Tamandua tetradactyla: one gene and its partners. The protein of the gene in region 3 interacts with the protein of the main gene of each other region in a pairwise test. Links are inferred from orthologs where the notes say so. Each region holds a gene or a part of one and is shown on either strand. Other genes may lie near its edges.

Region 1 (7,216 bases), on a different chromosome or scaffold from region 3:
AAAACAAGGCAGCCTCTTCATTCCCCAACTTAAACCTACTTTTTCTCAAGCACTAAATTAAATCAAACAAATCCCACTGTTCTCTGTTTTACTTAATTACCAGCACCATTTCCCCTTATTTGCCAGCCGCCCCCACCCCAGAAGAATTACTGCTTGTAATTCCCAGCTGTCTCCAAGACCCTCCTACTGCTACTCTGAATGAAACAGGTTTTGTGCTGGCCTGGAAATCTAACTACTTATAACAATTGTTTCCAGAGAGAAAAGCCAGCCGAGACCCAAAAAGCAGAACTGTCAAGAAAGTTTAGCAACATAACCCGACTAGTTCTCTGGGGATTGTGTGCTCATGGAGACTGAAGGCGTTAAGCCAAGTGCTCTGCGCTCAGAGGAGAGCAACACAAACATCTTGACTGTCCAGCTCCAGGGGCAGCTTCCCGGGGGGTGGCCCTGCGTGCACGTCCCGGGGAAAGGGTGAGCCCGGCCGAGAGCAGGGACACCACGAGCAGCTGAAGCCGCTGGGGCAGGACTTCTCCAGAGATATGGGCAGAAAAGATTCTGGGGCAGGTGCCCTTGAAGTCACCCAGCAGTGCTGAAATAACTTACTAAGTTCAGGGAAGCCCAGGGTCCGGCTGTGGGGAAGAGAGGCTAAGTCCCAGGAAACACACAGACTGAAATGGTTTCCCTCAAGGGCCGAGATGAATGAGCCACTCTTTCGCTGAAACAGGGCCTTCCAATCCAGGAAGGAAATGTCCAAGAAAGAAGCAACTTGTTCCGAATCAAAGCCAAGGGGCACTTGGAGTGGAGGAAGGAAAAGGAAGCAGGACTCGGGCGCGTGCAGGGCACGCCCTGTCCCCACCAGTGACAAGGAAAACCGGGCGGGTCCACCAGTGGCCATGGTGCTGGACTCCACTGCCCTGAGGTCTGGGGTTCCCTCCCAAGGATTCCGTACCAGGTCGGGCCTCGATGGACCATCTCTCCACGGGTCTCCCTGAGTCTCCACGGTCACCAAAGGCGCCCTCCTGCTTGCTAGGTGACCTACCCCCAGCCCAGACGCTCAAGGCTGCCAGGGTTCCCCCCCAAAAGTTGGTGAGATAAGAGCTCCACGTGGCGGCCTGGCCTTGCTGCCCACCCTGATGCACCAGACCGGGGCCTGGGTTGCCGGGCGCTAGGCCTGGGGTGCGGGATGAGGGGCCTGGGGTGCGGGGTGAGAGGCCTGGGGTGCGGGGTGAGGGGCCCGCGGTGCGGGGCGCCGGGCCTGGGGTGCGGGGCGAAGGGCCTGGGGTGCGGGGTGAGGGGCCTGGGGTGCGGGGCACGGGGCCCGGGGTGCGGGGCGAGGGGCCCGGGGTGCGGGGCGAAGGGCCTGGGGTGCGGGGCGAGGGGCCTGGGGTGCGGGGTGAGGGGCCTGGGGTGCGGGGCACGGGGCCTGGGGTGCGGGGCGAGGGGCCCGGGGTGCGGGGTGAGGGCCTGGGGTGCGGGGCCCGGGGCCCGGGGTGCGGGGCGCCGGGCCTGGGGTGCGGGGCGAAGGGCCTGGGGTGCGGGGTGAGGGGCCTGGGGTGCGGGGCACGGGGCCTGGGGTGCGGGGCGAGGGGCCCGGGGTGCGGGGTGAGGGCCTGGGGTGCGGGGCACGGGGCCTGGGGTGCGGGGCGAGGGGCCCGGGGTGCGGGGCGAAGGGCCTGGGGTGCGGGGCGCCGGGCCTGGGGTGCGGGGCACGGGGCCTGGGGTGCGGGGCGAGGGGCCCGGGGTGCGGGGTGAGGGCCTGGGGTGCGGGGCGAGGGGCGAGGGGCCTGGGGTGCGGGGCGAGGGGCCTGGGGTGCGGGGTGAGGGGACTGGGGTGCGGGATGAGGGGCCTGGGGTGCGGGGCGCTGGGCCTGGGGTGCGGGGCGCTGGGCCTGGGGTGCGGGGCCCCGGGCGTCTGGCCTGGGCGGGTCCCCCGCGCGTCCCAGGTACGCTCTCGGCGCTCGGCAAGTCTCGGAAACCGCGCGACCTCGGGTTCCGCGTGTCCGCGGGGCCGAGGGGGCTGCGGGGACGCGGCCAGGGCCCAGCCGAGCGCCGGCAGCGGGAGGGACACAGCGGCCGCAGCGCCCAGCTTCCCCCGGCCGGCCGCGCACTCACCGCTCGCTGCCGCGGTCGCCTGCGGAGGCGCCTACATGCCCGGCCGAGCCCGCGGGCCTCGCCGTCGCTACCTGGCCCCGGGCCCCGCGGCCGCCGGCTGCCCCATGGCCGCCCCTTCAGCGGCGCCGGCGCCCGCGGAGCAGCAGCAGCGCCGCCGCGGCCCGGCCCCAGCGCGCAGGCGCGCCAGACACGCATGCGCACTGCAACCCGCGCCCGCCCGCGCCGCGCATGTGGGATGGCGGCGCCGAGACGCCGGCCCCGACGGGCGCCCTGGACGCGGGTCCCCGGCTGGGGGAGGCGTGCGACGGCCGGGGCGGGGGGCTGGAGGGCGGGCATGGCAAGGACAGGGAGGGGAGGCTCCGATGAGGGCGCGGCCGGCGGGGAGGGGGGCGGCCCGAGGGGGGTGGCAGCCGGGAGGGGAAACTGACCCGCGGCTGGAGGGGGCCCGGAGGGGCGGTGTCCGAGAGGGAGGGGGCGGCCCGCAATGTGGGGGACCTGCGGCAGCCAGGAGGTGGGGTGCGGAGGACGGACAGGAGGTGCGGGGTGCAGTCAGGAAGCGGGGGTCAGCAGGAGGTTGGGGGTCAGCTAGGAGGGTGTGGGCAGGCAGGAGGGGGTCCGCCAGGAGGTGGGGCTGATCCGCGGCTGGAGGGGCCCGGAGGAGCGGTGTCGGAGAGGGAGGGGTCGACTGGTGGCGGTGGTGGGGACCCGGCGAGGGAGGGGGGCCTGGGAGGGGTCCGGGCCGTGGGGCAGGCCCCGATGGCGGCGGCGAGGCCGGGGCGGCCTCCCGGGCGCTGCACTCACCTCGCGGCTGCGGCTGCCGCTTCGCGAATGCGCCTCCTGGGCCCGGCCGAGGGTGTAGGCCGCCGCCTCGGACTGTGACCTTGGCCCCGGCCGGTCCCCGCGCGGGTGGGCGGACTTCGGGGGCTCAGGAGAGGTGACCCAGAGCGCCGGTAATTGGGTAGGGACGGGGGCGTGGCCGGGCCTAGAGCCGGCACGTTGGGCAGCCACAACCGGGTGCAGCTGCGACGGAACCTCCCGCCCGGCCAGCCGAGGGGCGCGGCCCGTCTCCGGGTTCCCCGCCCGCGGCGACCTTCGGCACCCCGGGTTGGGGCTAGAACCGGGCAGGACAGGCCCGCGGGGCCTTGGGCCTGGCCCCTCCAAGGAGCCTCTCGAGCGGGGTCCCGCCCCATGCGCTGGAGGACCAGGAAGGAGTAGGAAGCGCGGAGGTCCCGAGTGTCAACTTTGGGGATTCCCGGATCTGGGCAGGAGCAGGTTCTCCTGGGGCTGAACCGATGGCTTCCTGCATGAAGGGGGCAGATGGTCCAGCTGCCCCTGGCCCGGGCTGTAAACTGAGGCAGGGTCACCATGGGAGGGGGAGCCAGGCAGCGCTGTCTGAGTGCCAATCCCCACTTTGGATGTTCTTTCCCTTTGTACGAACCTGTCTCGGCAGGTCATGGTGTGCTCCTTCCCACGGGGCACCTGGCCCAAGCATGTGGAGCCGAGTTGTGCCCCCATTTCCTGCGGTCACAGCACCAGGCACACTGAGGGACGACCTGGATGGCGCGGCTCAGGTGTCTGCCTTCAAAGGGCCCTGTGCCCGGACTGCTGGGTGGGGCAGGGGTGGGGAACTTAGGGGATTTCTCAAGCTCTGCAGCTGGCGGGGTTGGGTATTTTGTAAACCTGACCGCTTCCCCAAAGGGGCCACCGGCCACCCTCACAGCGGGAGGCAGCTCTGGGCGCCCACTGAAGGGCGGGCCGGCCCACAGGCCCACCCCATTGCAGGCAGAGCCCTGCCTGTGTCACTTACCCGTGGTCACACTGTGGCCCCCTAAAGGGTACTTGGGCAGGTGTCCTGGGAAACCAAAGGGTGCGGGCAGGGAGGTGTCCTGTCTGGGATAAGGCCCGGAGGGTGCAGCTTCCTCCCTGCCCAGCGGGACCCTGGCATCCCAGGCGGAGCTCACACCCCTGCAGAAGGCTTACAGCGCACGGCGTGTCACCCTGACCCAGTCTTGGGGCATCTGGAAGGTTCCTAGAGGTGGCTTTGGCTGGGCTGAGTCCAAAGGCCAATCCCCGCCTGCTGGGGACGGATGAAGGCCGGCCGGGCGCATGTGGGCCCTGTGCCTCGGGGGCCCGGGACTAGGAAGGCATCCTCCCTGCACAGCGGGGGTTGGGGGTCCTGGCAGCTAAGCTGCAATTGCACAGGGCAGCTGTGGACTTTCTAATGGGACGGCATTCTATAAGCTCTCCTTGAAGATGGCGCGCCAATGTGCTTCAGAACCCCCAAAACCTGTGCACCCCCTCTTGCGGGTTGAGCCGTGGGGGACAGAAGGGAGAGGTGGGGTGGGGGAGAAGAGGCACCTGGCTGTGGAGGGCGGCGCTGGATGAGGCTGCTCGCCCAGAGGCGGGTGCTGTCCTGCGGCAGAGGGCTGGGGTGCCCCTGGCTTGTGTGTGCAGGGGAGGGGGCAGGGCTCTAGCTTTCCCTTTTGCAAGGGAAGTTCATTCAACTGTGCCTGGCTGGGGTCAATAGAGGCGAAAGGAGGCTGCTGGGCAAACAGGAAGTAACCAAGAGCCTGGGTGGCTGAGTGACCAGGGCTCCCTGTGGCTCTCCTTGCCATCTCGGCCATCCCCCAGCCTTCCTCCTGCAGCCAGCAGGCCCAGCCCCCATTCCAGCCCCTGAAAACCATGTCCCCAACCTGACCTTTGCTCGACTCAGGACCCAGAACTGCCCACTTGACCAAGTCCAACCCCAAGTCAGGCTCTCATTTTTGGGGGGCAGGGTGAGGCTCTTCCTATATGCCACCTTTGCCAGGCACACCCTGGATTCATCAGAGATGCCCCTGGCACTCGCCTTTGATGAGGCAGCGAGGCAAGAAGTATCACTAGTGAGAGAAAAGGAGCAAGGTCAGGGCCTGGTGGTGACCGTCCCCACCAGGTGCATAGCGTGGAGACCGGCAGGGGCCCTCTTGGTCACCTCTGCCTCCACGCAGCATGTCAGAACTCACATTGAATCCTCACAAAGAAGAACTTTTGTTAGCCTCATTTTTTCCCCCTCTGTGAGGAACCTGAGGCACAGAGAGGCTCAGTAATTGGCTGAAGGTCACACAGCCAGGAAGCCAAGGACAGCGTTTGGAGGCAGCCAGGCAGAGTCTGGTGCAGACGTGGGCAGGACGCAGTGCCCGGAGTGGAGCACACTCCTCCAGCAAGCACCCTGCACATCCAGGACCCTGTCCTCTCCCATCGCCACGGCTGCTCCCCAACCCCGCCCTGACCACACAGGGACCTGAGGCTGCAGCCGGCACCCTGGGGACCCCCACTGCCATCTTCAGGCAGCACTAAGAGCCAGACGTGTCCCCACTTAACTGCGGTGCTGGGGGTGGGGGTGTAGAAACGCGGGACACATGCAGCCCCAGGCCCAGCCACCAGAGGGCGCCACGCCCCCCCCCACCCGCTACGGTCCCACAGCTCCCCTCCCTGCTGTCCCTGGGCACCTGGCCTTACCATGGACTGAACTCCCAGGGGCTCCCCCTTTGTCCTGAGTGGGAGGGCGCTCCTACGGGCACAGGGCCAAGGACGGAGGCAGCTAGGAGCACTTTGGGGGACCCGCTTGCCCTTCTTGGTGCCCAGGCCAGCGCTGCCCTGTGGAGGTCCTGCCCGAACCCCAGGGGAGGCCCCAAAAGAATGTGATCTCCAGCTGCCCCGCCACCACACTTGGACACAGCAGGGAGTGGCCCCAGCTGGTGGGGGCCACCGGGGGACATGCAGAGTGAGGGCTGCTCCCGTCTGGGCCCACGGGCCACCTGGGCTGGGTGCTTTCTGCCAGGTGTGCCCCAGGCCAGCACAGGAAGGGCAGAAGGCTGGAAGGGACAGCTGAGAGGCGCGCCTGGGGGGACTCCAGGTCCTGGTTTGTGTCTCAGGCCTGAAGGGTGAAACCCCAGGCAGTACTCAGCCGAAAGCCCTCGTTCCCAACACTGCCAGCTGCCTGCCCTTGGCAGAGACTGCAGCGCGGTGTGGGGCGCCCCAAGGCCTGCAGGGCTATGGGCCCAGGGAGAACCTTGGATGCTCCCAGCACGGGTGCCTCCTGGAGGAAGCTGGGAGGGTTAGAATTTGCAGAGAATTCACGTGTCTATGAAGAGCAGATTTATTTCAAGGAGAAGTGGGGGAGAGGGCAGGCAAATGCACAGTTCAGCTGCCAATCACTCCCACCCCAGCAGCCCAAGGCAGCTCGGGTCAGCCGCCCCCAGGCCGCAGCTGCTCCTCAGGGGAGGGCAGGTGCTGCTCTGACGGAGGCTGGGGTCCCCATGGGGACCTGCAAACCCAGGAGAGCCCCTGCTGCTGCTGAGCTGTGGCAGGAAAAGGGGTGAGTGGCAGGGGCCTCCAATAGGCACCTCGGGCTTTGGCTGGACCACTGCCCACTGGAGCATTTTCGCTATGTATGGAGATCACACTGTTACTTCTTATGACCTTAGTGAATATGTAAGTTTTTTAAGAAATGTGTGTGGCTAGGCCCAGAAAGTAAGGGTGGGGGTGGCCTGGGAGGGGTGCACGGACGGCGCTGACCCCACCTTGCGGTTTTGTGCTTTGCCCTGGTCAGAGCAGACGCACATTTCCTCCGTAAGATGCAGGCCGAGTTTGTTAAGGAGCCTGTCCAGCCTGGGAGCGCGTCCTCGGGGTGTGGGTCTCTTGGAGGGTACAGGAAGAGAAAGGGGTGGCGAAGTGCACAGGAGAGCACAGGCGCAAGGGCAGTCCCAGGCAAGAGATGCCCGTCGGAGGCCAGGGCTGGTGGACCCTCTCCGCAAGGACCTGTAATGCTGAGCACCCTGGCGGCCTCCCAGAGGAGCCACACACTCCACTTCTGAATTCTTTGTGATGTGGACCAAAGACACAGGAGCAATAAGCCGGAGTGGCCAAGCGGGTGCCTGCGCCACAGGGCACAGGGAGGCTGAGAACACCCACTGCTCCAGAACCCCAAATGGCCCTCAAATAAGCAGCCACACCCATGTCCCTCCTGTCAAACTGCTTTATTACATCTTAAATAACAGCACAGTTTTAATAGAGTATCTACCTGGCATCCAGCTTCCTTGCAGTACACTGACTTTAAAATTAAATA
Region 2 (7,206 bases), on a different chromosome or scaffold from region 3:
ATTCCGAGACCTGGTGCTTGAGTTCCACGGGGAACAGAGGCACAAGTAGCATCCTCCTGCATATCAGCCAGGCGTGGGTGTATGGCAGCCAGACCCTGGCACTGTGAAATTTTCAAAGGACAGTTGAGCTGGATGAGAGAAAAGGTTTGCCCATGCAGAAAACGTATGTTCCTGGCAGAGGCGAGGAGGCGATGACCAGGAGGCCATCTCTCAGTATTGGAAACAAATCACTCAATTTATTAATTTTCTTGAGCAAAACAGAGAGGCAAACTCCTGTCACGTGGGACACAAGGTTAGATGGACTTCCGGGGGCAGAAGGCTTGGGAACAAGATTGGCCTTAAGGTGTACAAGCTGTGTCTGTTCCTGATTGGCTGGCGTTCAACAACGTAGATGGCCCTGATTGGTTGGCTGACAAAGCATGTGTTTACTCCTGATTGGCTGGTATTCTGAGGCATGTGTGGCCCCCTGATTGGCTGGCATTCAGAGGCGTGGTCAGGGTCGGATGTGATTTCTGGGTGAAACAGATTGAAAAATCATTTCCCGCGGTGTCTTATCGTGGAGACAGAGCAATCAGTCCTTTCCTAAACATACAGAAATTCTTTCATTCTCAATGGTCTCAATGGACGTGAATTGTCGGGGTGGCTCTGAACAACGCTTATTTGTGTTACGGGACAAAGTTTGTGGGTTCTTTTGCCCTTGTGTGCAAATGGCCAATTCCTGAGACATTGGGGTTTCTAAGAGAAAAAGAGTTTATTGCTAGGCACGTATCAGGAGAGCAGATGACCTAACTGACCTAAAAATCTGTCTCTCTGAACTGCAGTAATTCTGATAGTGTTAGAGTACCAAAGGACGGGCAGGTTTTCGGATGATGAGCACAAATGGCTCAAGATGATGGGGTTAGAGATGATCTAATTATTGAGCATGTGCAGACTGATTACATGCTTACCCACAGAACTTATATAAAAAATGGTGATCTTCATATACTGATGGGCGTGATTTTTAGTATTATAATGAGGCATAGGCCACAAATGGGTTAAAGTCTAAATTACTGTGCAATGTCGGGCAGGCCCATTTGGGGTAGATCCAGTCTCCGTTATCGAAATAACCTTGGGCTTGGGGTGGGTTAGTTCTGGGCTGACCCAAGACCTTTCATTAATAAACTTTAGGGGCTCTCTTTAGTGATCACAAAACTCTAAAGTAAAAAAATTAGATAAACGGGTACAAGTGAAGGTTAGTCATCAGGTTGTTTATGATCACAGGGGCACATTATCAGAGATCAAGGCAGCTGCTTTACAATTCAAAGATTTCAGGTATTTCCCTTTGTCTGCTCTAAAATGCCAGAAAGTAAAAAGGAGTATCTATATAATATAAATTCAGTAACCACAATCATCCCTTCAATCCTAACTTCTTGGTTACATTTGGGGAACTGCCCCTCTCTTCTCTCCAAGCCCATGGGATTGGGGGCTGGCCACGTCACACCAGTAGGGGATAAGCTGGGACGCCCTCCTTGCAGACAGCAGCAACCAGTGCTCTTCCCTCCTGTTTTGAGAATGAAGGAAACACTGAGGGCAAGCATGAGCTCGTCCAGTCATCTCAAGGCAGGTCCCCAAAGCTGTCCTGATAATTTAGTTAGCCAATAAGCCCTCTCCCCTCGTTTTGGTTGTGGGGGTCCTGGGGAGCCACGGGAGGGCTGTGAGCGGAGGAGGGGCAGCCGCATCTCTGGGCATTGCTCGCCTCCCCAGGGCCCCCTCGCCCGACCCCGCATGAGTGCCCAGGAGCAGCTGGAGCGCATGCGGAGACACCAGGAGCGTGGACGGCCCAGCCCTCGCCCCACCTCGCCCCGGCTCCTCACCCTGGGGAGGACGCTGTCCCCAGCCAGACGCCAGCCTGATGTGGAGCAAAGGGTGAGGGGAACGGGGTGGGGCAGTGGGGAGTGGGGTGATCGTGGGTGCCTCTGTGTCTGCTCTGAGCCACAGTTTCCCTCTCTGTAGAATGGGAATGCTCCCTACCCCCCTAGCCAGAACTGGGCTTCCAGATTCACCCCAACTTGTACCCGTGCTAAAGTCTGCCTTCTGGCTCCCCTCGGTGGAGTGAAAGTGGGGAGGAGACTGAAATAACAGCTCCACCTAAACCACATTCCCCCTTCAAGGTGGGGGTCTCCGGTCTGGATTCCAAGCCCAGCTTTTCTTCTCAGCTGCTATGAGTTGTCAAAGGGAGAAAAAAGAAAATCATCCAAATTAGGAAATTGATTTTATTTGGGCTGTTGCAATAGGGAGAGCACCCCAGATCCAAAGATGGGAGGGGCTCCATCGGCAGGGTGGTTTAACTTTAGACTTTTATAGGGATGTGAAGACAAGTTATAGGGGAAGTGATTCCACAGCTGTCAATCCTTCAGCTAAACAGGAAATGGTTATCTCTGTATCTAGCTAGCTTTGGGGGGCAGAAACAGTTCAGCGGATCGTTTACGAAATAAAGGATGGGGATTTGGAGGGGCAGTAGGGGGGGTCACTAGGAGTTCTAGCTAAGTCCTGTGGGGAAGGGAGCTGTTTCCAGGAACAGGAGTGGATGGGGGCCACCTTAACTCACCTCTTTTCCAGGGCTGCAAAAACAAAAAAAAAACACAATAAATTATAATTTTAAAAAGCCGGCCCCGATTTTCCACGTAAGGATAATTCTAACGACCCGATTCCTTCCCAGCCTGGCCTAGACTCCCTGGGACAGTCGGGAGCCTCGAAATGGCTCAGAAGCTCGGGGTCCTGGAGTAGGTGAGGAGTGGATGGTGGCGGCAAGGGAGCAGGGAAATTAATTTGCCAAAGGGGAAGGGAGTACCATCATTACTATTTTAAAATTATTTTTATTGTGGAAACATGCAAAATGACATTTCCCATTTTAACCACTGGCAAGTATACAATTCAGTGGCCTGTCATTAAGATGAAATTCTCCCGAGTACTGACATACAGGTGGCAGAATCTATTAAAGACGCAGAAGTTTCTGAGAGAAAATCAGAAAGCCCTGGCTCTCCGGTGAGAGCTGCAAACTTGTCCAAACTCCGTGGGTGGATTTCCCACCTTGCCCCTCCTTAGAGGAAATCGGCTTCAGTTTCGGACGCCTGGCTTAGAAATCCCCTAACCCACGCGTGGGACGCGCCCAGTTAAGGACCTGCAGAGACACATCTAGTGAAGCACCCGCGGGGAACTTCCGCTCCCACCACAGCGGCGAGTTGGACACGCACCCCCAAATCTCCCCTTTTTCCTAGTCCGAGGAACACCACCCCATACTTGCCCACGTCCGAAGGTCACCGGGAGCGGGTCCTCAGCCTGTCTCAAGCCCTGGCCACTGAGGCGTCACAGTGGCACAAAATGATGACAGGTGACGCGCTGGGGGCTGGGACCCCTGGGATTTAGGGAACAGGGAGTGGGAGGCCTGGAATCCTAGGTCCTATCGAGGAGGGGGCTGCGGGGAATGTTGTCTGGGTGAGGATATGGCCGGATCTTGAGAGTCCTAGGTCCCAGGCAGTGGTGGAGCTGGAGAGACCCCCGAGTGTAAGGGAGGAGGGGCTGGGGGGGCCTGGACTTGGGGGTCTGGGGGCGGAGGGGCTGGGGCCGGGACTCCTGGGTCGTAAGGTTTGCCATTCTCGTTCCCCACCCGTCCCCTCCAGGTGGAAACCTGGATGGTCCGGGAGAACCTCTTCCATCCCCGCCGCCGCCGTCGGACCCCACGCCGCGGCTGATGTCTCCCCCAAGCTCTCCTCCCGCGGCGACTTCCCGCCCGGCGGGGTCCAGGCGGCGGGGTGGTGGGCGCGGCGGAGGCCCCGCCCCCTGGGAGCCCACGTGGGCAGGCGAGGCCGCGCCCCCCGCCCTGGCGGCGGCTGAGGGGGCGTGGCCTCTGCGGGTCACTCTGCTGCAGTCGAGCTTCTGAGCCCCGGGACGCCCCAGCCAATCGTGGGGTGGGGGGCGCGGCCTGGTCCCCCCGCTGTGGTGTGGCCGGGAAGGGGGGCGGGCTCTGCACCCGGAGTCTGGTTTTCTCAGCACTGACCAAATTCGGAATAAAACTTTGAACTTTTGGTCAACAGTTTTCTTTCTATCTTTTTGGGGGTTTGGCGCAGGAGTGTCTGGAAAGCAAAGCTGGAGGCCGGGACCCCTGGGTCTGAGGGGGAGGTTCTGGGGGCCCGGACCCCCGGGTCTGAGGGGGAGGGGCTGGGGTCGCACTTCCGGGTTTCCACCTTTCCGGCACCGCCCCCGAGGCCGGCCCGCGCGGATCCAGCCCCTGTTTAGCACTTGACCCGACGCCCCCCAGCTCCTCCCCGGATTCTGGGGTTGGAAGGGGGCCCAGAGTGAGGGACAGAGCGAGGGACGCAGCGAGACGGACAGTTGGGCCGGGATGGCCGCGGGCGCGCGCTACGCGGGGAAGGTGGTGGTGGTGAGCGGGGGCGCGCGCGGCATCGGCGCGGGGGTCGTGCGGGCCTTTGGTGAGTTGGGGGCTCGTGGGCTTTTGGGGCCTGGGGCTAAAGGTGTGGGAAGGGGGCCTCCAAGCCCGGCCTGAGGACCCGCATCCAGTCTCCATGGCTAAGGACAGGGTGCCGGCGGTCGCCTGGGGCCAGAGGTTTTGGCGGGGTGTTCAAAAGTTAGTTGGCCCTTCTCGGGGTCTCAGTTATGGTAGCTACAAATGGGTGGCTCGGGGAAGATGGGTTGCCCAGCCTTGGGGTTTACTCTGGAACCCAGGGGTGGAGGAAAGGAGCCAAGGCCTCGCCATGCTAGGGCCTCTGCCCTTTGTCCTTTGGGATCACGAGGAAAACACACGGGGGTGGGGGGGGGTTCTGCCCCACTGCAGGTGGCCTCAGGGGAGCAGCAGAGGCCATTGCCAAGGTACAGGCAGGTAATCAGTTGACTTTTCTATTCTCAGTGGAGAGTGGAGCCCAAGTGGTCATCTGTGACAAGGATGGTGAGGGACCCTCCGCCCTTGCCCCAGCCTTCCTCCCTCCCTCAGACCCCCGGGTCCCCCAGCCCCTTCTCCCTCAGACCCGGGGGGTCTCCCTGCAGAGTCCTGTGGCCGGGCCCTGGAGCAGGAGCTGCCTGGAACTGTATTTATTCGCTGTGATGTGACTCGGGAGGAAGACATGGCGGTAAGCCTGATTCCTGCCCCTGCTTCCTGTCGCTAGCGGCTACCATCTCATTTTCATGTCTTTCTCCACGAGGCTGAGGCTGTGGCAAAGCTGTCTCCTCTTCCTTCCCTCCTCTCCTCATTAAATTCCCCAAGGCATCAGCCCAATGTCATTTGCCCCTCCAGGCTCCACTGATTCTGCTGATGTCTCTCTGGAAAGTTCTCTTTTATTTCCGTCTTCTCCAGGGCTCTTATCACAGTTATCAGCTGCGTGGAAGTGACTAAGTCCCTCACAGTGAAGGAATTCCGTAACAATGTTTCCTCCCCCACCCCTCTCTCTGGGTCTCTGCCCCCTCTCCCTGGGTTTCCGTCCCCTCCTTTTTGTCCCTGGACTGACGATGGAAGTCTGCGTTGAACAGTCCGTTGGTATCTGACAGCCCTGGCGCCCCCTCACCGCCAGCTGTGGGGAGCTCCCTGGCCCCCGGCCTCTCACAGGACACCTTTCCCCACAGACCCTGGTTGGCGAGACCATCTGCCGCTTTGGCCGCCTGGACTGTGTGGTTAACAACGCTGGCCACCGTGAGTTGTGAGGTTGGGCCTTCCCCAGTGCCAGCCAACCTGCCGCCCTTCTATCGCCTCCTGTGCCTCTGTTTCCCCTTTCCCTGCCCCTCCTTCTCTCTATCCATGCTGGTAGAACAATGCAGCTATGGGATTCCCCAGGCCTGGACGCAAATCCTGGCTGTGTTCATCCCTGCTGTGTGCCCCCAGGCCCGTGTCTTCACTTCTCTGTGCCTCAGTTTCCATATCTCTACAATGAGGACAATAGTAATAATCATAAGTGTTTCCTTATAGGGTTGGTGTGAGTACTGAATGAGACCCAGCCTTGAGCCTGCCCCACTTACATTCCATCACCACTGTAGCTGCTCCCTGCCTTGTAGCTTCAGTCTGCCCATCTGTGAAGTGAGGCCCATGGCCTTTCTCTTAGCTGATGACAGCAAGGCTGCCCCGTGGTGCATGGTTTATAGGACTTGGTAAGGTGGCTTCGAAGGGAAATTACCACTGACTTCATGACTGGCCTTTGTAGGAATGCCTCAGTGTGGTAAACCGGGGCTCAGAGAGGTGACCTGGCTGGCCTGGCATCTCCCTTGTCAGCTGGGCAACTTTGAGCAAGTGACTCACCCTCTCTGGGCTGTATCTTCCTCCTCACGTTGTTGTAAGGGTTTAAAGAGATGGCGGTTGCTACTTTGTCCTTTCTGCGTCCCTTATCCCTTCTACAAATACATATTGAGCAACTACAAATACAGTACATAGATCTCTATGTACGTACATATGTACATCTCTGTGTCTCTATTGACAGAGAGGACAGGAACATGACAAAGTGGTGGCAACTGATGCCATGAGACAACTTCCTATCCCTGGGCTTTGCTTCTATCTCCCTGCCCCATCCTTCCGTTTGGCCCCTAACGTTGTCTTCAGATGACTCAGTTTCCTTCTTTTCCCACTTCTTATCTTTCCCATCATCCTCTATCCCCCCCCCCCCACCTGTTTGTCTTCTGGCTGTTGGTTTTTCTATCTCTCTTCCCATAGTTCCCAGATTCCTCCTATTTATTTAACCAACATGGTTGCAGTACAAACTGTCAGGTACAAATATTGACCCAGGAAATTTCTAAGCCCAAGGCCTAGATGTTACCCTCATGGAGTAGGTGTGGAAATTGAAGCAAAGAGAGGGGAAGTGCCAACCCAAGTCCCGCAGCCAGAAAGTGTCAGGGCTGGGGTTCTAGTTTGCTAGCTGCCGGAATGCAACACACCAGAGATGAATTGGCTGCTAATGAAAGGGGATTTATTTCGTGAAAAACGTGTCGTTCTTCAGAGGAAAGGCAGCTAACTTTCAACTCAGGTTCTTTCTTATGTGGGAAGGCACAGGGTGATCTCTGCTGGCCTTCTCTCCAGGCCTCTGGGTTCCAACAACTTTCCCCTGGGTGATTCCTTTCTGCATCTCCAAAGGCCTGGGCTGAGCTGCGAGTGCTGAGATGAGGTATGCTGAGCTGCTTGGGCTGTGCTACGTTGAGCTCTCTCATTTTAAACACCAGCTGATTAAATCAAAC
Region 3 (7,255 bases):
TATGATTCAGTAGGGCCGGTGGAAGATGAAGAAAGGGTTTTGGTCTGGCTTGGGCTGAAGTTGTAAAAAGGCAGAGGCACAAGCCTGGGGGCTGGCAAATGACAGGGAAGGAATCTGAGCCCAAGAAGTTCAAGGAGAAAAATGCACAAGTAAAGAAGCAGGGGCAGACTTTATAGCTTGTCTCCCATCTGAAATTTCTCCAGGAAGTTCTCAGGGTTCAAGCAGTGAGAGGGTTAGAGTTGGTTAATAAGGGATGTTGTTCCCTCTCACCACCCCAGTCACATCCCTTCCTACCAGGTGACAGAAGGGCACCCCCCACACTCAGACCTCAGGCCTCCTCGTGAGCCGGTCTGTCCAGCCACCCACCCACCTGACCTTGGAGCCTCGGCATGCTGTCAGGGAAAGGCCTGGTGGCTGTCAGTGGAACAAGGGAAGCAGCTTCTCTTCTGACAACCATCCCACCTTCCTGCTCATTTCCTTCCCACGGAGACATTTAGGCAGCAAAGGGGAGGTAAGCGACACCCGTTTACTCAGCAAGGGACCCTCACTCGGAGGACCTCCCCCAGTTTCCCTTCCATGCTCTAAGTGCCTGAAAGGATTCAGATGCAGGCCTTTTCTAGGTGGGCACAGAAAATGAAGACTGTGTGCCAGGGCAGGGTCAGAAAGTCCCCACCTCCCTGACAAGGAGCTTCAGGGCAGTTGGGCCTTTGACTCCTTGGTTGGTTGAAGGCACTGTCCTTTCTGTCAAGAGAGATGGGAATCCCTCTGAGAACCAGGAGAACCCCAGTGCAAGAGGATCACAGATTTCCAACTTCTTGCCTCTTGGCAGAGGAATGGCGAAACCATCGTGGAAACACAGATGTCCAGCTTCTTGCCCGCTTCTGGCACCTTCCTATCTGTTGACTGGGACAACAGATGATTCCTGAAGCCTCTGTAAGAGCTGACTTTGTAGGTCTTCCTCCATCACCTTCCACCAAAAGAATTTCTCACCCCGAACCTTTGGGGGCTCATTTTGGATACCTGGGTTCCGAAAAGCCACTGTCACCAGCACATTTAGGCAAATGCCATCTGTATGGTCTTTGCCTAGATGCTGCAGTCCTAGCAACCCCTTGGTCTCCACTGCTAAGTGGTGCAGAGTCAGACATTCCTGTAGCAGCCGCAGGATGGCCATCTTGATGCCACCCCTCTGCTCCACTGGGGTGAAGCCACAGGCAGTGATGGGCAAGTGAGGCATCCCCACTGTACCCACCAGCACCCACACAGCTTGGACACTGGTAAAGGTGGCCACGAGCCGCTGGCAAACCAGACTGCAGGGAAGCTCTTGAGGCAGAATAAGAGGGTGACTGGCTCGCTGGCCATACTGGGCAGCTAGCTCTACCAGGTGCAAAATGTCATGGGCTCGCAGTGGAGTGGGCAGGGAGGTCCGTGGATACCAGCCAGCCTGCAGGGACTCCGCGTCTGCCTCCTTTGAAGTCTTAAGAATTCCACCTAAGGGGAGATTTGGAGGGCAGAGGGGAGGAAAGGGTCTGTGCTGAAAGAAGTGCCAGATCTGGCAGAATAAAATGGATACCCAGGGAGGAGACCGAAATTCTCAGGGTGGAATCTGGGCCATGCCAGGCTGTGGAGAGGCTCATCTCACCAAAGGACAAGCAGGCATGAGATGGGGTGGGAGTAGGGGTGTCAATCGTTTCCTGCTCCCACTGCCATTGGGTGGGACATACCTGTGGCCTGAGCCAGGAATGCAAAGCGGATCCAGGAGAGGCCCCGTTCCTCCACAGCCAACAGGGTCAGAGGCTCACACTGCAGCCCGGCCTCCTCCTTCACCTCCCGTTGGAGCGCCTCCACGATGGTCTCCCCTGGCTCCATTCTCCCCGCGGGTAGGTACCACGACCCGCGGCATTCTCTCTTGGCCTCCTGGATCAGGAGCACCTCATCCTGAGGGGACACAGAGGATCCTCACCTCCCACCATAGAGCACAGCACAAGCAGAGGCCCTTCCTCTCCATATGACAGCAACAGTCAGCCCTGAGGGATACCCTCAAGTTGCTGAGCTCTCCAGGGGACAGGGCTGTGTGTGAGGCTGTTTCTTGTCTGCAGTTGGGCCCTCTTTGGATTCAGAGACTTCCATTTCAGGAAGGGGCTGAGATTCCTGGGGGCTGCTTCCAGGGGCCGGGGATTAGACCCCAGGGTGAGGTTACCATGTCTGTGGACGTGTCACTGTGAATCTGTCGCCTCCCCAGATGGTTTACCAAATGCTCGTGTCCAGCCGCAACCCAGCCCAACCATGGCCCTGTCCCTTACTAGCTGTTATTAGAGGAACGTGTACAGGCATCAGCACCCAAAAGAGCACTGGACAAGGAGGTCAGACGTCTGAGTGCGAGCGTGGGCTCCGCCATTCCCATCCGGAGGATGCAGGGGAGCTCTCTCAAGCACTCCACAGACCTTTAAGAGGGCCGAGAATCCACCGGACACTGTGCCAACCTCCTGGCAAAGAAGGAATAAGACAGCCCTCTGCTCAAGGGCTTGACACGCCAGGAGCAAGTTCTACGAAGCTCCTGGGCCTCAGTTTCCTTCTCTGCATATAGGGATAATTGCAGGGCTGGACCGCCACCAGGCTCAGGGGCAAGTGTGAGTGAAAGTGCTTTGCTAAATTACTGGAAAGCGCCCCGCACAAGCAAGCGGTGGGTGAGGCCACTGGCGTTTCCGAGGCCGGGGCGGCGGGCTGGCGGCCCCGGGCCCCGCTGGGACGCTCACCTGCTCGTTGAGGAACACCGCCAGTACCACGTAGCAGACGTTCTTCCGCAGCCGCACCGGCGCCGGCGGCTCCTCGGCGGGCACCGAGTCCCAGCCCTGCACGCGCAGCCCCCGGCCCCCCAGCACCGCCGCCAGCGCCCCCGCCAGGCCTTCCGAGGCCATCGAGGCCCCTGCGGGCGGCGGGCCCGCAGTCTGCAGAGCGGGCTGAGTCGGGGCGGAGAGGTCGGGGGGGGGGGGGGGGGACGAGGGGGCGAGCGAGGGGAAGGTGGGCGGGGGTCCGTCTCCGTCTTCCCCTGACGATTCAGTCCGCGCGCGCTCGCGGACGCGGAAGAGCCGGGCGAGCGCTCGCGGCGGAGAGGCTGCGCGTCACCACGGCCCGCCTACATAGGTTGGCCCGCGGCGGGCACGGGGGCGGGGCCAGCCTGGAAGGGGACGCGGCACCCCTGCGGGGACCCGGGCAGACCCCTGCCCCGCCGCCGCTGCTGTCCCACCCGCCCTGCTCTGTCTTTTCGGACGTCTCCCGCCCCCGACCTCGCTGGTTCGGCTAGCGCGCGCTGGTCTGCGGGGTTCTGACGGCGTCGTCATCCTGCCTGCGGGGCAGCGAGACGCCACCGCGGCCGGCGACGGTGGCGTCACAAGCCCGATGACGTCACGGAGGCCCGCGGTTTGGACTGTCCAGATCGCCTTAAACATGCGATGGCTTTGCCCCAGAAGATCACTTCTTAGATTTCTTTCTTCTTTCTTCACTAAACTGTATGGGATTTAACATAGCAGGGGGAACCGTAAGCCCCCGCTGTAGAGGAGATTCCCACTTAGTTGGCAAGATGGACATATACGTAGGAAAAGTCACCCCAGGGGTGTACGCCAAGGGCTAAGTGAGTGATGTGGGTATGAGGTGTGACAGGAGCTCGGAGGAGGGAGGGGGCACCACTGGGACGGACAAGGTGGGGCAGGGCTGAGGAGGGAAGGAGGGGATTTCAGGGACAGACTCAGAGAAGATCTTCAATCTGCCAGCCGAGCCGTTATGTTACCCCGCCCTCTGCCCACCGTGTATTTCCAGGTGGTTCCAGGCCCCTCTCCCCTGTAGACTGTGGGCCCTGCCAGGGCAAAGGGGTGTCTTGCTCTGTTTTTGCTGCCCTCCCATGGAGCACGCACAGGCTGGCACAGTGAGAGCAGGGTGTGGGCTGTTTTGGGCGAGTTCCTGCTTCTCTCCCAGCCTGACCTCTCCTCTGCAGAACTTCCTTTAACCTCCTCTCAGGACAGGAAGTCAGGGCCAGCTGGAATGAAACTGGGAAGCAAGCAAACTCTATGTGCCTCGCCCCGAGTAGGGGCCCCCCTTTTCTCTTTCCCCTCGTGCTGGCTTTGTGCACCTCTTGTTTTTTGGTGAGATTGGCTGTGATGGAGAGGACCAAGTACTGGCCTTGAAGCCATAAGGCCCGGCCACTGCTTGCTGGCTTGCTCTGCGTCCTCAGGCAGGTTATAGGTCTCCTTTTCCTCATCTGTAGAGCACCCTTTCCTTCACAGGGTTGTGGGGAGGGTACGGTGAGATGTGGAGAGGAGCTTTGTGGACCGTCCATTCAGGCAGAGCAATGCACCATCACCAGACTGCCCACGAAGCCTCCAGGCAGGGCCCTCCTGCGGCCAAAGTAGGACCTACCCTCATGAATGTGCCGACAGGGCCACTATAGGACTAGACTTGACTCTCAGAAACTGCAACCCCAGCTTCTCAGTCTCCACAGGCCCTTCTCACATCCTGCACTGACTGCGGGTTCCCAGGAGACCGGGTGCTGTGTTGCCCCAGGCCAGCTGGTGAATGCTGCCGCCCCAGCCATACCCAACACCACCTCACCTCCCAGACACCTGACTGTACAGGGTGGAGTCGGGACCCCAAGACTACAGAGTGACCTGTCAACAAATCTGCTGCCCGTGTGTGACCCTCAGTTTTCCCATCTGTGAAGTAGGGACAGCGTTGTTCCCAGACTCCTTCCTGCCTCCCAGGGATGATTTGAGTGAGAGTGAGGTCACGTCTGGGCAAGGATCTGAAGCCTGACAAGCAGCCTGAGATAAACAACAGACGGCCTAACCGCCTGGAAGTGCCAAGGCGGCTCCACTCCCCGCATCAATGCCGAAGAGGAAAAGCATTCCGCTTCTCTCCAGAGGGCCTCACGTGAGGCAAAGGAATGCGAAGCCCCTCGTGAGCCGTGAAGGGCTGCATGGGATGGGTGGGGTTTGGGGGTAGTCGGTACCCAGCCCTCAGAGGGAAACAACAATGAAATGGACTTTTCTCAAGGCATTGGGAGGACGAGAGAACACAGTCAGACTGGGTAACATGGGAGACACTGAGCAGAGAAAGAGAAATGCTGAGGGAGGGGGGCTGGGATAGAAAAACCCGGAGGCCGAGGGATGCAGCTCGATTCGTGAAGAGACCCAACTGGTAAAGATGGCCCCACAAAACTACAAAACCCCACAAAAGAAAAAGGCTTTCATCAACGTTTTCTCTGTGTCCTCTTTGCCCATGAGGGATGAAAACTGGCTGGGGTGGGTGGCCGCAGGGACGGTGCAGGGTTCCCAGCGCCCAAGATTCCCAGCCCGAGCTAGACGTTTCGAGGCATGCGCACAGGCACGTGCGTAGGAGCACGCATGCGCAAAGGCCCGTGACTGGCACCCTCAGGGACCGGAAGGGGCGGGGCAAGGTCAGAGCCGCCTACCCAAGAGTAAGGCTTTTTGCCCTGAAAGCCCACGTGAAGGCTGAGGAGGACAACGGTGCAAGCTCCAGGCCCTTCTGTGGAGGGCGTCGGGCTTCCAGATGGGCCCTGCCGCTAGGTTGGCCCCTCAGGGGTAGGGTCAGATCTTCCCCTTAGGCCAACTGTAAAAACAAGGTACTATTGGATCCTGTCATAAAGAAAGGACGTAAGTGGGAAAACTGGTGAAATCCCAAGAAAGTCTTTTGCTTCCTTAATAATCAATCTATCGGTGTCTCGTGGCTAGGTAAGGTGTTAACTTAGAGGAAACTGGGTGAAGGGTAAATGGGAACTTTATGCCATCTTTGCAATCCTTCTGTAAATCTAAAATTATTTCAAAATAAGTCTCCAAAACCTTACTTTATAAGAAAAAGGAAAAGAAGGCATCGGAGGTACATCCTATGAGCTCCCCGCCAGCCCTGAGGGTTCTGCTTCTTAAATATTTGGGTCAATGAGGAGGCCTGGAAGCAGACGGTGGACAGTGAGGAGAGGCCTGTGAGAAGCAAGAGGCTCAAAGGGCAGTCTGGGCTGGGATTGAGCCGGCCAGGCCTCCATGGGGGTCAGTGCCACCCCCTGCCCACAACCTGAGGCACTGGGTCACTCCCCACCTGGGCTGGCTTCATTCCCAGGTCCATCTCTGGAATAAATGAACATTGATCCATCTGCTGATTCCAACACGTCAGACCAATTATGCCTTTAATGGTGCTGTGACCCCCCCCATGAAGGATTGGGGGGGGGATGGGGTGCTCCATGTGAAGAGAGAGGCCCAGGGACTCGGTGGTCCCCATCCCAAATGGGAAAAATTAAGAGACCATCCTCCCATAGGAAGGACCTCGTGTCTTGGGTTCTGGGGTAACATCAGGACACAGCCAAATAAGGTGAAATCTAAGTAGGAATGGGTCATTCAGTGCTACTTGGAAGATGATCAGATAGAAAGTACGTAATGTTGGAAGGACAGAGAAGAGGGCAAGCTCATCTTTAAACTGCATTAAGAGCTGAGACGATCATGTAAACGAGGTGGCATGAGTCAGAAGATTTGGTCCAAATCCCAGTTCTGCCACTAAAATTGCTGAATGTCCTGGGGTAGTTTACTTAACCCCAGCCTGCCTGTTTCTTCTTTAAAACAGAAATAAATAATGTCTACCTTAAAATATTGATGAAGGATTAAATGAGATCATATTTATGTCAAAATACTGGTGTGGTGCCTACTATAAGTGTAGGAGTCCTCTATTTTTCTTTCTTTCTTTTTAATCCCACGAAAAAATGGAATTAACCTAATTTACCAAACAATGAAGAAACCTAAATTTCAGGAAGAAAGAGGGCTTGATAAATCGTGGCAAAGCCTCAATCGACTGTAAGCAGCCACTTAACATGACGCTTAGGTAACAACATAAAAAATAATTATATTAAGATAAGTAAATCAACTACAAAACACCAATTCAACCACATGTGAAATAGACCCTTGGGGAAAATACCAGAAGGAACTATACCAAAATGCTGATAGTGATCAGGCTGAGCATGCTGGAGATAGGCTTCCAGGTGACTTTTTCTTATTTTCTAAATCTTCTGAAAGTATATTACACTTGTAATAAAAAAATTTTATTTAATAATAAAAAAAATTCCCTGAACCACCACAGAAACAATTAGGTATAACAACAGTTGGAGCATTTTGCGATCTCAAGGGAAGGGGTGAGGGGAAGAGTAACACCAGAGGGGTCACAGGGCGTGGGCAGAGGGGGCCAGGCAGTCAGCTGTCTGAGC
Region 4 (6,943 bases), on a different chromosome or scaffold from region 3:
GGGGGGGGCGGGAGCGCACACGCAGCTGGGGTGGGAGGGGTGGAGGTGGGGGAAGGGGGGAATCCCCAGCCTCTCCTCCCAGCCGGGCGCGGGGCCGCGAGCGCGCGTGGACCTACCCACTCCACATCGCGGCGCCTCCGGGCCGCCCGGGCGTCCGTTCCCCGGCGCCGCCGCGTCCTCACTGCACCGCCCCGCGCCGCGTCCACGCCCGCCGCCGGCTCCGCCCCGGCCGGTCCCGCAGCCCCGCCGCGGGGTCAGTCCTGCCGGGCCGCCTGTCTGTCTGTCTGGGCGGGCCCCAGCCCTCCCGTCCCCAGTCCCCAGCTCAGCCCCGACCCTGCCCTCCGCGGGTCACGTGGCCAAGGGGGTGGGGGGAGCGGCCCGAGGTGGGGGTGGGGGTGGGGGCATCGCCTCGCCGCCGAGGCGGCTGTCAGACGTGCCCAGCTGATGACTCCTCTCCACTCACCCCGCGCCCCAGCACGGAGAAGCACTCCTGGGCTGCCTCCAGCTCAAGAACCTGCTGTGGCTCCCAGACCCTCGACTGCCCGATCCTCACGCGGATTGTCACTTAAGGCCAGCGGACCCCCGCCCACCCCTCTCCCTGCCCTCCTGCCACTCCTTCCATGGGCTCCCTGGTCTGTGCCTGTGCCACACCCTGCCTGGTGGGGAGAGGGGACAGGCCCCAAAACAAAACGAGTTTTCTCCTTCCTATCCTAGGAGCTCTTGTCGGAGGGAAGTAACCCTTCTGCCCTAACCGCCTTACCCAGCCTCCCCCCACAGGGACCCCTCCTCTTCTGCCTCTCAACACATCTGCCCTCCACAATGCAGTGTACACGCATGCGTGCGCACGCACACACACACACACACACACACACACACACGTCAGGTCTCATATCCTCTGCAAAGCCTTTCCCTGAATCCCAGACCACTGGTCTACCTGTCCCGCAGTCCTTCTGTCCCACCTACCTGAGCCCTGACCATCAGCCTCCCGCTTCAGCCTCGGGCTGGATCCAGTTAGAGCACAATCCCTCTTCTTTCCTGTGAGGGACCTTGGCTCCCACCCATCTCCCTGTGGGTGGAGGTATTGGGGGGAGCGGCACCCCCCTTCCACAGATGCCCCCCGGAACTCTGGGCAGTCCTCTTTTAGGCCCCCAGATGCTGGGCCCCAGGCTTACGTTTGTCCCATCTCCATTTTGGGGACATGTGTCATCCATTCATCCATCCATTCAACCACCACTCCCTGAGCACAACCTGTGGACCAGGCAAGGGTCTCTCTGGGGACCCAGGAGAAACAGTGCAGACATAGGCCTTAGCCCCCTTCCTGGTGAAAGATGAGGGCTGGGGGACATACTCTCAAAGGCCCCCACTTCCAGGGCCACCGTTTGGTCAGGGCGCACCTTGTCAAGCCCGTGGGGTCTCTGTTCCGAAGAGAAAACTGTGTCCCTTCCCCAAGTAAGCACAGCCCAGACCAGCGTATCGGACTGGGGAGTGGAGGGCAGGTGGCATGTCAGGCCTTGCCCGCTCCCTCCCTTAGCTGTCCATCACCTTGTGCAGTGAACAACCTGGGCAGCCCTCCATGCCATCCCTTCTGGCTTTCCAGAATCATTCAGCCCAGATCTCCTATGCCCTTCGCTCTACAGGGCGATTGTTTCCATGACTGTGGCTTTCTAGGGGCAGGGACCAGCGCCTCAGTCCTGTGTTCCCCCGTCTGCCACTGGCTCAGCACAGAGCCTGGCCAAGAACAGGTGTCAGCATCCGTTTGTAGATGCAAATCCTTCACCAAGAAAGTCTTGAGCACCTGCCTGTGTTCCTACCTCTTTCTCTGTACACTATCTAGGGGAAGGGGGAGAAGAAGAGAAAAGGATCCCAGTAAATGTCCCTTACCCTCCAAGTCTTGACTTGGTAGATAAGCCCTGGTCCAAGTTATGGGAGCCCAGACCATGGGAGATAAGGGGTGGAGGAGGTGTCCGCCCTGGAGGAAGAGTCTTCAACCCCAGGAGAAAGGGTGGGCTGGGAAGGTCCTTTATGAGCCCTTGAAGGTCAACTGTGGGGTCATGACCCCAGAAGCAGAATGTCAGCTATCCAGGTACTGACCATGAGTATACTATCAATTATGCATCCAATCACCATGGCTTCCCCAGCCTCATCTGTCCCAGCAGCCCAGAGAGCCCCACTCCTCAGCTGAAAACAGGCTCAGAGAGGTCAAGGCACCTGCCTGTTATCACACAGCCAGGGATGGTGGGGCTGAGACCCTTTACTGCCAGGTTTCCAAAAAGACAACCAGAGCTCACTGGAAGCTGTTGCTGCATGCATGCAGGCCACAAGGGGTTCCTGAGCACTTACTAGGAACCTGGTCGAGGAGTCGGGGCAGATAGAAGTAAACGTATATTCTCTGCCTATGAGCTACTAAACACCCCTGGCCCCCAACCCAGCCTTGGAGGCAAATGAGGAGCTGGAAATAGCCAGCCTGGAGAACTCAGTCCTGGTTCTGGACTTAGGTTTGTTTTCAGCAAACTGTGTGACCCGGGATGAGTGTCTTGCCCTCTCTGAGCCTCAGCCTACACCCCTATACAACAGGCAAGCTGGACAAGGTGCTCAGCACCAGCCCTGGCTCTGACCCTTATAGGAAGCTCCTGAAACTCCTCACAGCTCTCTGCCAGCTCCCAGTCCAGAGTCCAGCTTCTCAACCTTCTGGGGCCTCCACACCCCAGCAGAGTGGCAAGATCCCCCTCCCCTCCTCGTCCCAGCTCCTTGGCTCACCTGTCTCTGTCCCAGTGCTCTTCTCCCAAGTTGCCCTCCAGGGCAGGGCCTCGGCCCAATGGGGCATAACGGACAGTCCCTGCACTGATGGCCAGGTACATGGGGCATGACCCTCGGGCAGGGCACCCAGTGGGCTCTTCCACTTTGTCCATGCTGGGGAGACCAGATCCCTGCAGGGTCCCTCTGCAGACTGCCAGGCGGGCAGATGGCCGGAGCTTTCTCCCTGCTCCCAGACTGAGCCTCACACTAACCTTTGCTATCTCTGAGGAGCAGCGGCCTGTGAAGGAGGCACCTCCTAGATAGTTGTCTATCTCCTGAAACCCCATAATTATTAACTCACATGGCTTAGCAGGCCCTGCAGAGACTAGGGCTAGGAGGAGGTTTTCCACTACCTCCTTGGGGCCCCAGGCTTCAGCCAGACCTGCCCAAGTTGGCACGTTGGAAAGATCCTGTCCTGTTCTGGCCCTGCCACTAGCAGCTGGTGTGACCTCGGGCAAGCCCCTTTTGCCCCTGTGAGCCTCGGAATCCCCTTAAAACTTTTAGCCACCAAGAAAAAGGGTGGGGGTTGTGTGTGCAGGGAACACGGGCCTGGAGTCAGACAGGCTGGATTTAAACCCCACTTCCAGACTGTGAATCTTTGGGCATGTAAGCCTCTCTGTGCCTCAGTTTCCCCACCCTCTAAGACACACCAGACCAGCTGCTTCGCCCAAACACACCCTACATACCCCCTTTCCTCACATTATCTCTTCTGTCTGCAGCCTCCCACTTGCTGATGAATTTTCCTTTTCTCATGCCTCCTCCTCCAGGAAGCCTTCCCTGTGGATTGCTTCCTTCCTTGTACAGGTGCCGGGCTAGAGCTCTCAGACAGGTGGTCAGCCCATGGAACTGATGGGCACTCCCATGAGAATGGAATGACCCTGGCTGGCCAGAGGGCTGGCCCACCCTCCTTATCAAATCCTTCTCAGTGCCCGCTTGCCTGGCCCACGGTCAACCTTGATCCACCCCTGAGATGGTTTGCATGTGCCACCCTCTCTCCTTTAGGCTGAGTTCGAATCCTGGTTGTGCCAGTCTCTGGACAAGAGTTATTCAACCTCTCTGGGACTCAGTTCCCTCATCTCTAAAATGGGAACAGTTCTCTCCTGTGAAGTTGTGAAGATCAAAGAAGTAAAGGTTGGTGAAGTGCCTGCCGCAGTGTGGACTGATGGTCCCTCCTCCTGTGCCTTCCCTCTCCTTTCCCATCAGCCTCTGGGGCCGGCTGCTGCGGAGAAGCTGCCAGTTCCGATCTGCAGTCACACCCCGCCCGGGATAACAATATCTCCCACTCGGGCTTCGAAGCTCTCAGCCTAATGCAAACCAGATGCTGGCCTCCCTTTCCTGGCAGCGAATTTTCCATGGCCTGCTCCCACCCGCTTCCTGTTTTTGGTCCTCGCTGAACCCCTGCTAAATTCTCCCGTCCCTCCACCTTCCTCTGCTGGGCAGCCTCTGGGCCCACCTGGAAACAATTAATGGAAAACAGGATGTGTGAAGGGGTGGAGGTGGGGGTGGGGGGCGGGGGGGCGGGGGGTGTCTCCCCATTGCCCTGACATGGCAGGAGGGGAAGGGGCTTAGCCTAGCTAGTGGCAGAATTGGTCAGAGTCGGTGCCTTCCTGCCAAGCCCCAGGCAGCCTCCTTGGAGGGAAACTGAGTCAGAGCTGCTCCGGGGACTCTATGAGATCAAACTTGCTACTTCCTGGACAGCTGGTTAGCTGGGAAGCTGTGAGGACCTTGGCCTTGGCTGTGATGACTTAGGAAAAAAGCAGAGTCAGAAAAGGCTCAACCCTCTCCTGTTGTGGATGAAGAAACCAAGGTTTGGAGACCCGTCCAGGGAGCCAAGAGGCAGCCGGGCCTGGGACTGCTTGCCAGTAAGAGCTGCTGCTGGGAGTCCTCTCCTGGTTTGCTATCTCAGCGTCCTTTCTCACCGCCCTCCCCTGGCCCCCACCCCTTCCCGGTGGCATTGAGCCATGAACCCAGTCACGAGGGGAGGTTCACAAGGTCACCCACCGGCCCCCCGCCTCCACTGCCCAGCCACCTCCCGGCCAGCAGGCGTCGGGCAGCCATGCCCACCTGGCTGAGGCAGCTCGATGCCCCCTGCCAGGGGCTGGGCACCCCGGAGGGAGGCCTTTGGGCAAGCCGCAGGAGGCTGGGGGCTCTTCCTTTGGGGGTGGGCCTTCAGCCCTGTGGACCCCCTCAGCCAGGAGCTGGTGCTCAGAGTAAGGACTCCCCCATTTCCATGCAAACAACAGCCCGAGGGCTCCCCAGAGCCAGACTCTGGCAGCCCTGCCCTCCGCAGCTGTGCGGAATGTTTGGACAACCGGATGGAATATTTTGCAGTGAGAGTTCTCCCTGGATCCCTGGGCTCATATTTCAAGAGGGAGGGAGGAGAGAGGATGCTGGCTCCAGGGAGAGGGGAAGAGGCTCGGGAGGTCAAACGTGAGTCTGGCCCCACCTACCCCCTTGCCCCAAGGTCTGACCAGACCACCGCCTGCCCAGCCCCACCTTGAGGGAGAGCTGGAGTCAGGCCCAGACCCCTTGGGGAAGGGCAGGACAGAGGGTGGAGGCGGTTAAATGGTGTCAGAGATTTGAGTCAGTCCAGCCTGATGAAGTCAGGCCCCAAGGACTCTCTGGGCTTGGGGAGAACTTGGAGAGCGCTAAGATCCCAGGACAGAGAGGGTTCCATCTACCATCAGCCCCATTTTACAGATGGGGAAATTTGGGTATGCAGTGGCCAGGTGCATCATCCAGGTGAAGCAGCATGCCAGGTATAAAAGGGGGCTAGAATCCAGAGCTCCTGCTTCTCAACTTACTCTTCTCACTGTGCAAGAAGTTCTTACCCTCACCCCCAGCCCCCAAAACATACCCCAGCCAGTGAATCGTCATCCTTGCCCTTCCCCCAAACAACACAGGCAAAAAACCTCCCCAAGTGCGGTACTCTAAGTTCACAGAGAATACGCAGACACCAAGCTCCCTGCTGGCCTCTGAGAGAGGACAGTAACCCACTTTTGGACAAAGGGGTAGGGACTCTGAGAAGCCAGGATTCCTGCTCTGGGGACAGAGCTCCCACAGACTCCCCAACACAGCTTTCCAGGCCTCCTGGAGCCCCTTGATGAACCCTCTTCTCTGGCTGAGGAAGACACACAAGTCCTTGACACAACTATGTGGAAGATTGCTTGAGCCTCAGTTTACCCACCTCAAAATTGGGAGATTATCCTGGCTCCACTTGATTCATCATCATGTTATGGGGGTGCTGGTGGAAAGGGAAGGGGGCTGGCGAATTCCTTTGGAGATTTAGTAGACATTTCCCAGCCACTAAGCCATGGGTGCTCAAATGAAGATGGGAGGGAGAGGATTCCTTTGGAAACAAATTGGTGTGGGAGACCCTTCCCAGGTGCCTGGGTTGCAGGACTGGATTCCTAGAGGATGAACCTGTTTGCTCACTCCCATTTCCCCAGCAGGAAATCTCAGACTGTAATGGAATTCAGGAACTGGCCGAGCCTTCAGGGGTAGACAAGACTAGTAGAGGAGGGTGTGACCTCCCAGGACAGCTGATAACTCCCTTCCAAAATCGTGGAATGCAGGGTGGGGCTGGACTGTGCAAGGATCTTTACATATAATTATCTGACATATAATTCCAATAGTTTGTGACTTCAATCACCCTCGCAGCCACCAACTGGCGTCCTTCATTGCTTTCTCTTCTCATTTTAAAGATGAGAGAACTGGGGCTTGAAGAGGCTAAAGGATTTGGCCCAAAAACCAACAAATGAAGAGAACTAGGATTTTAATACAGGTTTGACCTATTCTTATCCCCCCACCACTCACCCTTCAGGAAGGATGGGTAAGGTGAGACGTTTTAGAGGATGTGGGGCTTGATAAATAAGCACGATTTAACTATGTAGACATAGAGAAAGGGACTTCTGTGCAGAGGAACCAGCAGGAAGAAAGGCTTGGAGATGAGAAAGACCAGGGTTTTACAGATATACGCAAATTATTCACTTTGGCTGGAGTTCAGGCTAAGGTCGAGGATGCCAAAGAAAAGGCTAGAAAGACAGGCTTAGGTTGGATCAAGAAAAGCTTTGAAAGCCAAACTAGAGCATTTGAACTTTTTTCTGGAGGTTCCAGGGAAGCTGTGAAACATTTTTGAGCAAGTAAG

Evidence for each region.
Region 1: the proteins of NUDT18 (region 3) and NADK interact in a two-hybrid assay, tested with the Homo sapiens proteins (2 studies listed by BioGRID and IntAct). The two-hybrid records come from large-scale screens. The link is inferred for Tamandua tetradactyla from reciprocal best matches to the Homo sapiens genes NUDT18 and NADK.
Region 2: the proteins of NUDT18 (region 3) and HSD17B14 interact in binary tests that used the Homo sapiens proteins (3 or more experiments, as listed by UniProt). The two-hybrid records come from large-scale screens. The link is inferred for Tamandua tetradactyla from reciprocal best matches to the Homo sapiens genes NUDT18 and HSD17B14.
Region 4: the proteins of NUDT18 (region 3) and RAB3IL1 interact in binary tests that used the Homo sapiens proteins (3 or more experiments, as listed by UniProt). The two-hybrid records come from large-scale screens. The link is inferred for Tamandua tetradactyla from reciprocal best matches to the Homo sapiens genes NUDT18 and RAB3IL1.

Annotation. Positions count from the first base shown.
Region 1 is NC_135328.1:223,211,719-223,218,934, reverse strand, and holds the start of NADK (NAD kinase), read right to left. Parts: upstream 3,011-7,216; 5' UTR 2,911-3,010; intron 2,210-2,910; exon of another isoform or gene 2,110-2,209; intron 1,125-2,109; exon of another isoform or gene 947-1,124; intron 790-946; exon of another isoform or gene 601-789; intron 1-600.
Region 2 is NC_135342.1:12,213,025-12,220,230, forward strand, and holds the start of HSD17B14 (L-fucose dehydrogenase), read left to right. Parts: upstream 1-4,192; 5' UTR 4,193-4,381; coding exon 4,382-4,469; intron 4,470-4,903; coding exon 4,904-4,942; intron 4,943-5,019; coding exon 5,020-5,123; intron 5,124-5,613; coding exon 5,614-5,680; intron 5,681-7,206. Other genes in the region: PLEKHA4 (pleckstrin homology domain-containing family A member 4), read left to right, coding at 1,744-1,905, 2,699-2,766, 3,258-3,370, 3,660-3,919. UniProt on the Homo sapiens protein: Catalyzes the NAD(+)-dependent oxidation of L-fucose, yielding L-fucono-1,5-lactone, which rapidly converts spontaneously to L-fucone-1,4-lactone. Can also act on D-arabinose and L-galactose, with lower catalytic efficiency. Does not use NADPH.
Region 3 is NC_135329.1:22,739,838-22,747,092, forward strand, and holds NUDT18 (8-oxo-dGDP phosphatase NUDT18), read right to left. Parts: upstream 2,951-7,255; 5' UTR 2,916-2,950; coding exon 2,754-2,915; intron 1,936-2,753; coding exon 1,722-1,935; intron 1,489-1,721; coding exon 893-1,488; 3' UTR 512-892; downstream 1-511. UniProt on the Homo sapiens protein: Mediates the hydrolysis of oxidized nucleoside diphosphate derivatives. Hydrolyzes 8-oxo-7,8-dihydroguanine (8-oxo-Gua)-containing deoxyribo- and ribonucleoside diphosphates to the monophosphates. Hydrolyzes 8-oxo-dGDP and 8-oxo-GDP with the same efficiencies.
Region 4 is NC_135335.1:13,053,370-13,060,312, reverse strand, and holds the start of RAB3IL1 (guanine nucleotide exchange factor for Rab-3A), read right to left. Parts: upstream 3,012-6,943; 5' UTR 2,910-3,011; coding exon 2,758-2,909; intron 187-2,757; exon of another isoform or gene 128-186; coding exon of another isoform or gene 117-127; intron 1-116. UniProt on the Homo sapiens protein: Guanine nucleotide exchange factor (GEF) which may activate RAB3A, a GTPase that regulates synaptic vesicle exocytosis. Promotes the exchange of GDP to GTP, converting inactive GDP-bound Rab proteins into their active GTP-bound form.